Linked DNA regions of Drosophila melanogaster. The protein of the gene in region 1 interacts with the protein of each later gene in a pairwise test. Each region holds a gene or a part of one and is shown on either strand. Other genes may lie near its edges.

Evidence for each region.
Region 2: the proteins of Shal (region 1) and SIDL interact in a two-hybrid assay, tested with the Drosophila melanogaster proteins (one study listed by BioGRID).

What each region holds. Positions count from the first base shown.
Region 1 is NT_037436.4:19,581,530-19,586,493, forward strand, and holds the start of Shal (shaker cognate l), read right to left. Parts: upstream 3,040-4,964; 5' UTR 2,793-3,039; exon of another isoform or gene 2,782-2,792; intron 1-2,781. Other genes in the region: CG9231 (uncharacterized protein), read right to left, coding at 3,945-4,155, 4,220-4,386; CG9330 (uncharacterized protein), read left to right, coding at 4,853-4,940. UniProt on the Drosophila melanogaster protein: Mediates the voltage-dependent potassium ion permeability of excitable membranes.
Region 2 is NT_033777.3:15,214,014-15,220,679, forward strand, and holds SIDL (shal interactor of Di-Leucine motif), read right to left. Parts: upstream 4,862-6,666; 5' UTR 4,765-4,861; coding exon 4,740-4,764; intron 4,687-4,739; coding exon 4,463-4,686; intron 4,406-4,462; coding exon 2,405-4,405; intron 2,346-2,404; coding exon 1,731-2,345; intron 1,669-1,730; coding exon 1,326-1,668; intron 1,078-1,325; coding exon 848-1,077; 3' UTR 749-847; downstream 1-748. Other genes in the region: CG4210 (uncharacterized protein), read left to right, coding at 20-94, 157-208, 277-352, 413-734; CG12241 (uncharacterized protein), read left to right, coding at 5,398-5,463, 5,533-6,055, 6,117-6,666. UniProt on the Drosophila melanogaster protein: May play a role in vesicular transport from endoplasmic reticulum to Golgi. Has a role in one of the several mechanisms underlying dendritic localization of Shal channels.

The DNA.
Region 1 (4,964 bases):
TTGAAAACAATTATTCGGATTAAATTTGCACATGGACAGAAAATCTTTCACATATCTTAATAGCCGATTGCAATAATTATTTAAAAAACATAAATTTGTAATTGAATCATAAACATCGCGATGTTGGCTATAAATTCAAACAAAGGCATGCATTAAATGCATTTAATTATTCGCCAACTGATGCATGGACAATTAAAATCATCTCAATTTGGAAACGGAGTAAAATAATTTCAACAATATTTGTTTGCATTGGCAAGAAAAATATTGACCAGCTTTCAGCATCCTTCGCATATTAATTTTTATGTAGCCGCAACACACTGCGTATGCTTATTATTAATTCAAGCATTGCCCATACGTCATGTTGTGCCAGAGGACAATACAAGAAAAGGCCGAATGCGTCGACAGCAATTCGATTTCAAGGTGATTTATTATTTAAATTTCATGTTCCGAAACAAGTCTGGGCAGCAACAAGAAGAAGCAAGGGTTGCTGGAAACTGGTAAACTCAATGGCACGTGCACTTGGAAAAACTGAATCAAAATAACATGTATTCCATATTCAACTATTTGATCCTTACACTTGTTATTTTGGCTATTACCTTTTATTATTATACCCACATCATTTGTGTGATATCTATGTAATCATTATACAATACGTATACTTCTCAACCGTTAAAGTTTTTCTCAAATTCATAGCTTACACAATATAAGAAAATGTTGGGATTCGGGATGTTCAAGGATGAAACTTTGGAGTTTCCGCCGTTGTTCGCATTAATTGCAAAAGACATTAAAACTTTATAGAGTCGTGCTTATCAGTTGGCCAACATCGTCAGCTGGAAGAGCTGCAATGTAGCGAATCCACCACCACTAGCACCGAAAAACTTTCGTCCTGATGGCCATGGCAAGCAGGACACCAAGAGCGGTTCAAAGGGATGTGATGATGCGGGGCGTCCAGTGGACGTGCAAGTGGCCCAAAGAGCCAAATCCTGGGTCGCACTGGGTGGATGGTGCGGCTAACAGCGATGGGGTGGTGGTTGCTTGGTTGGATGTGGCCAATGGCGTAATTTATGTAGGCCCGCTAAGCCTTTTCATGCGTAAAATGTGTTTATATCTGCGTATAAATACGCGTACAACTGTGACCACGTACGGGATTGTGTACTATATGTGCTTATTGGGGTGTAAGAGATATATGTATAGAGATACAACCAGGGGTAGCAAAATAATTTGCGGTCGAAACAAAAAATCTTCAATACTACAGGATATTCGTGATAATTATTACTAAGATCTTCAAGAGTAAAAGCACTTATTTCTATTAAGATCAACCCCATCGATTTGAGGTGAGGTAATAAAAGAACCGCATTACGGTGTCCATGTGCATTAAGCTGCAATAAAAGTGTAATTTTAAACCAATGATAACAAAACAACAACTACTGGATGTGCGGCAGCTGCTCTGCAACTGCGCTGCAACTGCGCTGCCTCTGCTGCTTTAAGCGCGTCATCAAAGAGACACACACACACATAGAAGAGAGATAAAGCCTTTGTGTGTGTGTGCGCTTGCATCGGTGATGCTGGTATTAGTGCAGCTTTGTTATTGCGCCAAAAACCAAGCCAAGGATTTTTCACACATTTACGCCAACAAATGGACTGCAGCTGCACTGGGCAAAAGGATAGTACATAAATTTGATATCTGCATTATTATACTCATTAATATCGGGAAAATAAATGTTAGGTTGCAATCCAATTCCGGGATTCTACTTCAACATTTTCAAATGTTGGGTTTATTTATAAGATAAGAAATTTATTGTTAAGAAACACATCAAAATCCCTATAAGTTATATGATTATATTTGAATGAGAGAAATACTACAAAAAAACTATGTTCATATGTAAGTAAAATGTAAATGGGAGCACTACAATCTGGCTAACAGTAAAAATAAATTTTAAAGGAATTATTGTTATGCTTTGAAGGAATTTTTAAAGAAATATCGGAAAGCAACGATTTTTCCCAGTGTCCTGTTTGCTCCTGGCTGCCTCGCTCTCTCTTTCTCTCCTACAGACGACCTTCACTTTCGTGGGACCGACCGTTATATATTTTGTGTGCCTAACGCTTTTTTAACGTGTTATGTTGTTTCTCTATTTTCGCTGGCCCGCTGGTCAAATTAATACCCTGAGTGGGTGGTGCGTGTGTGGAGAGGGGGGCTGAGGCGATTGTCGATTTAAATAGGCCAACTATGCAGAAAAAACAACTTGTTGTTGGGCTGCAGGCACGCCATAAGGTGCACTTAAAAAGCGTGTTTTAAAATGAGCTAACCGCATGGCAAGGATATGGGCGGTTTGAACTAGATGTGAATTTTCCACACTTATTTTCCCTCTGGTTTTCTGTTATTTTTTACGGCTGTTGTTGTTGCTGAGAGAACGAGCGCTACAGCAACAACAAAAACAACAACAACAACAACAGCAACATTCGCGGATACACACATTTTCACAAATCAAAAAAGCAAACGAATATTGCCACACAAACCCGTACACAGAGAAACACACTCCCACACACACACATACACACAAATGAACAAGAGAGACAGACAGGGAAAATCTCTCATTTTTTATGGATTTTCTGGGAAGGCAATCTGCTTTCGCTGATGTTTGATTAAACAATTGCTTTTTATACTCCTGTTGACTATCGTCCATCATCTGCCCGCATTTCGCTGGGAAATTGGGGAAAACTGTTTACACATACATACGCACGCCTTTCGTTTTATTGCATTTTACACTTCTCGCCTCTTACACTTTTCCCACCTCATCCGTTCCTCCTTTCGTTAGCCGCACATTTTCCGCACTACTGCGTGTACATTTTCCACGCTTTCGATCCGGGAAATTCGATGCTGGCCCCTGTCTGTTTTTGGAAAAACAATTTTTCTGACACTTTTTCAGCCTTTTCTGCACGCACGGGGGCCACAAAAAACTTGGCCCAAACTGCGTCCCGCTTTTTGCTCCGCTCGGCGTTTTCTTGGGGGCGTTCAGACAAACAGTTTTCGACAAACTGAAAGTGAAAAGTAAATGCAAAAGCGCCAGCGCCTCCGACAGTCGGTAGTTTCACTCGGAGCATGCGAGTCCGAACCCAAATCCGAACCAGAATCCGGGACAGCAGCGAGATGCTCACGGCGTCGGCGCACTTCGACGAGCAAGTGGTGGCCACTGGCCTCTGAAGACGATGCAGAATCGAAACAGATGTTCATGTTGCCTTCCGAATGAACTATGATCAAATATTTATGGCTAATACCACATATCAATGGATTCATATCAAGGATATCACAATTCAGTCGCAGTCGATAGCCATGCATTTTTCACAGGATCTATAGTTTATTAGCCCCTTACCTGTTACCCACACTTAGCAAACCTTTATACTGTTTTGAATCGAATATAATCGAAAAAGAAAGTTACTTGAAACCGAATTGTATCTCCAAAATGTATAGTTTAATTAATTATAGTTAATTTATAATTTATTTATAAAAACATGACCAAATCTTAATATTAATTTGGTTCACCCAGCGCACCCAAACATGATTTGCAATAAATATGTTTTATTTTTGATAATACAACATTACAAATATCACTGAATATCTATCAAGGACACGGCTTGTACACATGCTTATGGCAAAGTGCTTTCCAAGCCAAAAAATTCACTAAAGATTTGGCCCTGCAAACATTTTCCATTCCATAGTTTATGGGCCAATTGGGATAATTATGAATTTTTTTAGTTGAACGCACACATTCAAATCAAAAATAAAAATCTAAATTTAAAAAGAAAAATTTTCAACAATCTTCAGACCAACTGATTATTAGCAAAATCTTTTAAGGCCAGTTTTAGCCAATCTTCTTTGGAAGTGAAAATGGAAGCCTGGCCAGTTCTAATATTACTAGGCGAGTGAGGGATTTCGGAGTGATTTTCTATTTGGCGGCCGGAGCAGATCCTTCGCTCTGCTGAGAGTCATTAAACTGTTTGTGCCACTCGAGATTCATCTTTGTGACGGATTCTCCTTTCTTGGCGGCCTGCTTGCCACTGTACACCATAATGGCGCATCCCACGGCGGTGAGTGCGATCATTATGTTGGCCAGGCGGATGCGCATTTTGTTGCGGCAGCGCTCCATGACATCCTGACTGCAAGTTTTGACACCAAAACTTAGACACCTGTTGCATTTGCTCTCTAAGAATCGGCACTTACCTAACGAAATTGGGAATCTCGGACTGCGACTTGTATTTGCCGGTCCAAACCAACATACGGCGCTCCAGATTGTTTGGCTCGTGGTTCTTGATCGTCTCTCGCAACATCTGACTGGTGCCGAAGGATCTACGCACCAAGGCGCCAATTAACCCCGTTTTGCTTAGCATATTGCCTTTTTTAATCGTTTCACAAGTAATCTTGCAAAAGAGAATTGGAATTTTATGCAATTCGATTAACAGTGGTTGCTAACATAACAGAGCTGTCACACGGTCGATAACTGTGAAAACAGCTGGGATTTCTTTGGTCACCCTGAGAGACGTTCACACTGTACAATGAAGTGATTGAAAAAATGAACAACAAACTAAACTAAACTGGAAATTCTTTGTTAATCAGGTGAAATTTTGATGGTGCTAAAACTGCTGGAAAAAATAAATCTGATATTTAAAAATATATAGTAGGGAAAAATATTAGAAGTAAAGCAGTGTGACCATCTCTGAAATATGCTTAGTCGACCCAGCAACGGTCACTCTGCTATCCCCTTTAGTTTTCGTTTGCGGTGGAATAAAAGTCGGAAAAGTCAATTAAAAGCCGACTGCCACACGTCCAGAAAGCGAATTTGCGATCAAGGTCAAGATGAGCGAGTACACAAGCATTCTGCAGCGCGAGTTTCCCAAAATCGACCACGAGCTGCTCACCTATGTCGTTGGCGTGCTCACCGGAAGTAAGTGCCTTGCACTAGCCTGTG
Region 2 (6,666 bases), on another chromosome or scaffold:
GTTATAAAGATTTCCCACTATGTCGAAATCCGGAGAGTTTACATTCCGGCGTGCTCTAGCTGAAGATATTAAAGATGTGCTCTCCATGATTCAAGTTGAGTTTTATAAGATTCCTATTTTAATACCAATTTGAGATACTTTTGAATTGATCTGCAGGAACTGGCTGACTTTGAGAAGATGAGCAATGGTCCCCAGCTAACAGAGGAAGGTAAGAGATGGCGAAACCCTTACCATAGTAATGAAATAATGGTAAAGTAATGGATTGTAATATGACAGATCTTAAACGAGACGCAGGACTCACTGGTGGCCAGGAGTATTGTGAAGTCTATGTGCTTGTAGACAACGATACTGAGTAAGTGCTGTAGTTCTTGGCATGACCTGATTAACTTGTGGGCTTGTTCTCCTATTCTAGTCAGGCGATTGGGTACTCCATTTGCTACAAGGCATACTCAACGTGGCAGGGACGGTACTTCTTCGTCGAGGACATCTATGTCCGCCCCGAGCACCGTAAACGCGGCGCCGGAAAGCGAATCTTCTTGGAGGTTGCATCGCGGGCTGTAGAGCTTCAGTGCCCTCGCCTGGAGTTTAATGTACTGGAATGGAATCCTGCACGCAAGTTCTACGAAAGTCTTGGTGCCGTGGATTTGACAGATAAAGAGGGCTGGCACTACTACCGCGTGGAGGAGCAACAACTGGCCAAATTGGCCGCGGATCTGAGGGCAAAAAAATCTTAACTTGATTTGATTTTCAATTTTTACTACTTTATAGTAGGGCGATAAATAATTAATAATACTTGGCCATGGGCCATATGTGCTATGAGTACATTGCAATTAATTCGTTTGGCTTCTCATTGATCCCCCGCCACACTTGCGATGACATGGATCTGCATGCTCTTCGTGGAGTTGTAGACTTGACCGGGCGGAAAGGGATGCACCTTGGAGTGGCCATCGGTTTTACTTTTGCCACCGGCAGTATACTTGGATAATCGAATGCTGGGCATTGGTAGAAAGCCGGTGCTCAGCGGCATTACATCCAGCGATATGGAATGACTGTCGACGTCCTTCATGGATACGACACCTAAAAGGTTAAGTAAAAATTAGTTAGTCAACAAGTACAGACTGTTGGTTCATCGAAGTAAGCCAATTTTCTTTTTCAGTGTTAAATGTTTCCAATCAAAAGCAAGGGCAAATCTAGTTAGTGCTACGTGTGTCCTATTCCAAGGAACTTACCCATATCTTAAAATGCAAAAGTGAATCGTGTGTAGAGAAACAGAATTAAATCATAAGCAAAGAAAGAGAGAGAGTAGTAAAGAGAATCCAACTTACCCGCTGAGCGACCGCAAACGGCCCACAGATTCTGATCGTTGAGCACCTCGTACATGAGATCCGTGTAGGGATTCTCATGCACCTTGGTGATCTTCAAGTTCATGTTGCACACGGTGCGCAGACGGCACAGTTCATTGGGTTCCAGCTGCGCCTGCAACTTAAAGAGCGTTGTGTAGTCCACCAGATCAAAAGCGCAGCCATACGTTCTCCACACATCAGGCTGCGACAGTGATGCGTATTTGATTACAAAATGCACTTTTACGACGGGCAGCTCGTGCTCCGTTTTGAGGGGCTCAACTTGAATCTCGTACAGATAAGTTACAGTCAGGGATTTGTAGATTTCCTAGAAGACGAGCTCAGGAGATCAGCAATTTTAGATATTAAATTACATTGCTATTTAGTTACAATGGGCTGCTGGGATTCCGGATTAAGATCCAACAATTGCACACCGGGCACATCGCACTTGACTTGAGCGTGCTGCAAAAGGAGATGTGCTTCCATGCCCTTCATGATCACCTGCAGGAACTTCTGAGTGCCACACGTGTGAAGCCGGCAAGTGGCCTCCATGGCTGGTTGAAAATCGACGGCGATTGGGAGCTCAGTTCGAGACCATGGACAATTGAGGGCGATGTGATGCTCATGGTGTTTAGACACCTTTCGGCCCGGCATATCAGTGAGAACCTCCAGTGGGATCCTACGTTCCTCGAACGATTTGAATTGCACTAGTGGCACTTGAAGCGTACTCTCAAATGATTGGTCATCATTATAGGCTGCTTCATCATCCGTATTTCGCGCCTGTCGAATGCGAAGATTCTTGGAGCAACGCAGTGTGATTTTTGCATCGGGCGGAAAGATGAAACTGCCACCGGAGACATTTAGGCTAATCGGCTGCACTATGCCAGCTATCAGAGTCTTGAATTCCAGCGTGGCACTTGCCGGCTTGGTGCTAATCTCAAAGGTGGCAGGCATAAATGGCAGCTGTTCCGACAAGAACTCCAGGCTGGACATGCTAATACATAGCTTAAAAACAAAAACGATTGAAGATAGGCCAAGAAAACTGATGCAACGTGATCACCCACCTGTTTGAATTGCCAGCAGCCCACTCGAGTGGCCTTTGCCTTCATCTCAATTAGGTTTACGCCCGGCTGAAGGGCAATGTTTTCCGCTTGAACAAAATTGGTGAAGTCCGCCTGGACACTTGGTGAAAGTTTGCGCTTGGTGCTGCTTGTTCGTCGCACGGGTTGCTTGCTTTTTGGCAAGTCGCAGGCCACAGCGGCAGAGTGCAGGCGATTGTCCTGTTTGTAGACTAGCTGAAGCGAGACCTTTAATCGTGATGAGGTGTCCTTGGCCTTTACCGTCGACGGGGAGGCAGTTAGGCTGACATTCTCCATGGCCAGCTCCAGAGAGGAAGCTTCCAATTCGTAACAAAGCTTAACATTTTCAGCTACGACCCCGCGCGGATAGAGACTTTCTACTTTTAGCTGCACTAGAATATAATCATCCTGTATAATAGGTTTCTGGTTAACAACCTCGATGTCCAGAATGCGAAAGTGATCCTCCAGTACACAATAGTTGGCATTCTCTATCGACGGCTGTGCCGAAAGCGTCGTCTTAAGTGTTTTCAGTGACTTGAGAAACTCGTCGAAATAAAATGTTCGCACTAAGGTCTCTAGTTCTGCGCAACACGAGATGGAGCTACATGTCTTGGTGTAGGCCAGCGAGTCGCCCATCTTGCGGTAGCAGTTAGCTAGTTCAAGCAGCGTCTGCGAGCTCAGCATGTGCCAGTTCTCTGCCTTCAGCTCCCTGAGAAGATCCGTAAAGAATCCAACAGCTTTATGTGGCTCATTTAGAGCGCAGTAGAAGTTTCCCAGGTCCAGGCCAACCAAACGGGCCGATCGCAAGCGTGTCACATGCTTGTACGTACTGATGGCCAACTCTGCCAGCTCCAGGTAGAGCTTCTGGAAGGCTTGATTCGAGCCCAGGGCTTCCTTAAGCTGCTCAGCCCCCGATTTCTTGGGCTTACGATTGGGAGACCGGTCTCGTAGCTGAGGTGTCGCCTGGAGGAACTGATGCTGCTCGGACGGCGCATCTCCAATTCCCGACGATAGCTGCACCACTATGTGCAACTGCTCCGAAGTTGGCGTGCAGCCGGGCAAGAGGCCACACAGTTTGCCGAGCTCGTAGAGCTTATCCTTGGCCAAGTTCCAGATGGGAGCACAGTGCTGGAAACATGTTAGCTCGTTGGGTTCCATAGCCTGTTCGCACAGCTGCAGGACTTCCAGAGCACAAACAAACTCCCAACAGCAAAGAGCGCCCTCCTGACACTCCAGCTTTATGAGCTCCACCTCGCGCAGTGTGGAAAACAAAAAGTTCAGAAGCCTCTTCGCGATTTCTGGGATGTCATTGCAAGTAAGCAGCAAATAGGCTTGACGTTCGAAAAGATAGTTGCGGAATTCCAACAGAGAAACGCCTTCATCGCGGATTTTGTTCCTCATTTCGAACTTGTCCGCTCGGGTCAGACATATACCATGGAAAGCGTCCAGGGGCTTGCGAAAATGGTTCAACCACTGCTGCTTCTCGTTGAGACCAGTGTGAGTTATGAACTGCGAGAACATGGCGTCCAGTTCATCGTACTGTATCAACGCCTCGGTGGGCAATTCCAGCTTTTCAAAGATCAACGCAAGGTCTTCCTGCATAAAGAAGTATTGGCGGAAATCCCAGCCTTCAATGTTTCTCTTTTCGCGCTTGCTCCGTATTAGTTCCTCGTACTTAACTATGTTCCGATTGTAGCTGGTGAGCATAAGGAAGCGAATACGCTGCACTAGGCAGCGGAAGGACTCGGTGGATTTCTGTTCAAACTTGGCCGGGTTCAGAACTGAGATGCAGCGGTCGTCGTTCTTCGTGCCAAAATCCAACCGTATCTTATCTAGCACAGTGGTGCGTGGCATGAAGTTCTTTGTCTTCCGCATGTCCAGTGTTTCGACCAACAGAATCATCCAATCCGAGACGCCATAACTGGTTAATGTTTTTAACCAAATGTCGATTGCCTCCCTGATCGTGGCTTTGTAGGTGTCCACATCCTGAAAGATAGTTAATGGAGGTGGATTTAGAGATTCCTACAGGATCAGTTAACTCACATTGCACTCGGTGACGAAAATGTGCAGTATGGGGTGCTCCAAGATGCTCCAGTCACCCTGCTTGTACTTCTCCAAGGCCGCAACATTGAACTGCTGTGCCTGGGCTTCCAAGCGAACATGTTTCGTGGGGCGTTGGAAAGTGCGTCGCCACTCGCAAGTGTCCAGTGGAATCGCGTTCAGGATCTGGGACTCCAGCGATCGGAACAGCGGGCACGAGCCAGAGTCTGTAAGTAAAGGTTTGATATGGGATTTATTGTGTTAATTTTTTACAACTCACATGTTATTATGGGCTTTATCTGCATTGTTTTTGTAAATTTCGTATGTTTTTCATTTGGCAAACGAAAGCCACACAACAATCTCAACCAAACAGCTGATAAGGCGAGGGCGGGGGAATCGATTGTTCGTTGCTATCAATAATCGGTTGACCAATTTAAAAAATATTTTAATTCCTAATGCAATGAACCATTAAATGCTAGCCTAATACAAGAAATTAATAATCTAATTAAGCAGCTTTAACTATTCGCTCAACAGGTGTGCTTTCAGCAGCCCTGGTCAAGGGCGTAGAGAAAAAGTAGAAGGATATGCAGAATAAAATATGGTTAGATGAACCAAACTAAATGGTTTTTAATTGGTAGAGAAAGCCTTCTTTTATTAAAAAATATTAACAAAAAATGTTTTCACTTAAATTTGTTAAGGGGTATATGAGGGGTATATCCCTTTTGCACCACACCTCAGTTTTTTATGGCTTGGCTAAAAATCGATACCACCCACAGTCGCCTATCGAACAGCTGATAGTGAAATCAGATTCGGTAGCTAATTGAAAACGAAACAATGAAGAAATAATATTTGTTTTTCACACGCCACAAAGAGACACTTAAGAGAAACTTTCACTGAATGCGCGGCCAGGTCTCGACTGGAAATTAGCCAGCCCCAGCATGGACATGGCCAGGAGCATTTTTGGCCGCGACCATGAGGGTTACGTGGGCCGTGAAGAGCATACGGTGCGTCTAAATTGACCAGAAAAGATTGCTTATCATGGTAATTAATATTTATCGTTCCACTGCCAACAGCGCAAACTGCAGAACCTGGGCTCGGAAGACGATCTGGGAGAGCTGCCGCCTATGATGGAGGAACTAAGTGTGGCCGATGGCCTGCGACCAAATCCCGGTGGGCCATTCTCCGCTCTTACCGCCTCCATGTGGCCACAGGAAATCCTAGCCAAGCTGGGCGGTGGCGCGGAATTGGCTTCCGGCCCAAACGACCAGCCGGAGTACCGTTTTGACGAATTTGGCTTCCGGGTGGAGGAGGAGGACGGTCCGGAGCAGAGCTCCAACAAATTGCTGAGCATACCCTTTGTAGAGGACGCGCAGCAGCGATTGCAGTGGATCGCCCACCTGGAGTTCTCACACAACAAGGAGGCTGCCGAGCTGAGCTGGGAGCATGTGGATGTAATGCTCCCACGCACAGAAAAGCTGCGCAATATGGTCCGTCAGGGTATCCCGCACACGTTGCGTGCCCAGATGTGGATGCGTCTATCAGGAGCGTTGGCCAAGAAGCAAAAGAGCGAGACCAGCTACCACGATATAGTTAAAGGTAGATCGAACGCGACAAGAAAGGTTATAAATACATTATTAATATACACCTAATTTGATAGCTTCTAGCAATGACCAGCTGATGACTTCGAAGCAGATCGAGAAGGACCTTTTGCGCATCCTGCCAACAAATGCCTGCTTTAGCAATCCGAATGGGACAGGCATTCCCCGATTGCGCCGCATTCTGAGGGGCATCGCGTGGCTTTTTCCTGACATTGGCTACTGTCAGGGCACCGGAGTGATCGTTGCCTGTCTGCTTCTCTTCATGGAGGAGGAGAACGCCTTTTGGATGATGGCCACCATTGTAGAGGATCTGCTGCCAGCTTCCTACTACAGCTCAACTCTTCTGGGAATTCAAGCCGACCAACGCGTGATGCACACGCTTATTGCCAACTACCTGAGCAGCGTGGACGAGTCCTTGCGTAAGCACGACATCGAGCTGTCTTTAATCACGCTGCATTGGTTCCTCACGCTTTTTGCCAACGTGGTGCATATGAAGATTCTTGTGCGTATCTGGGACTGGTTCTTTTACGAGGGCTCCATCGTGCTGTTCCAGTTGACTCTGGGCATGCTCAAGGTGAAGGAGCAAGATCTAAAGCATCTCGAGAACTC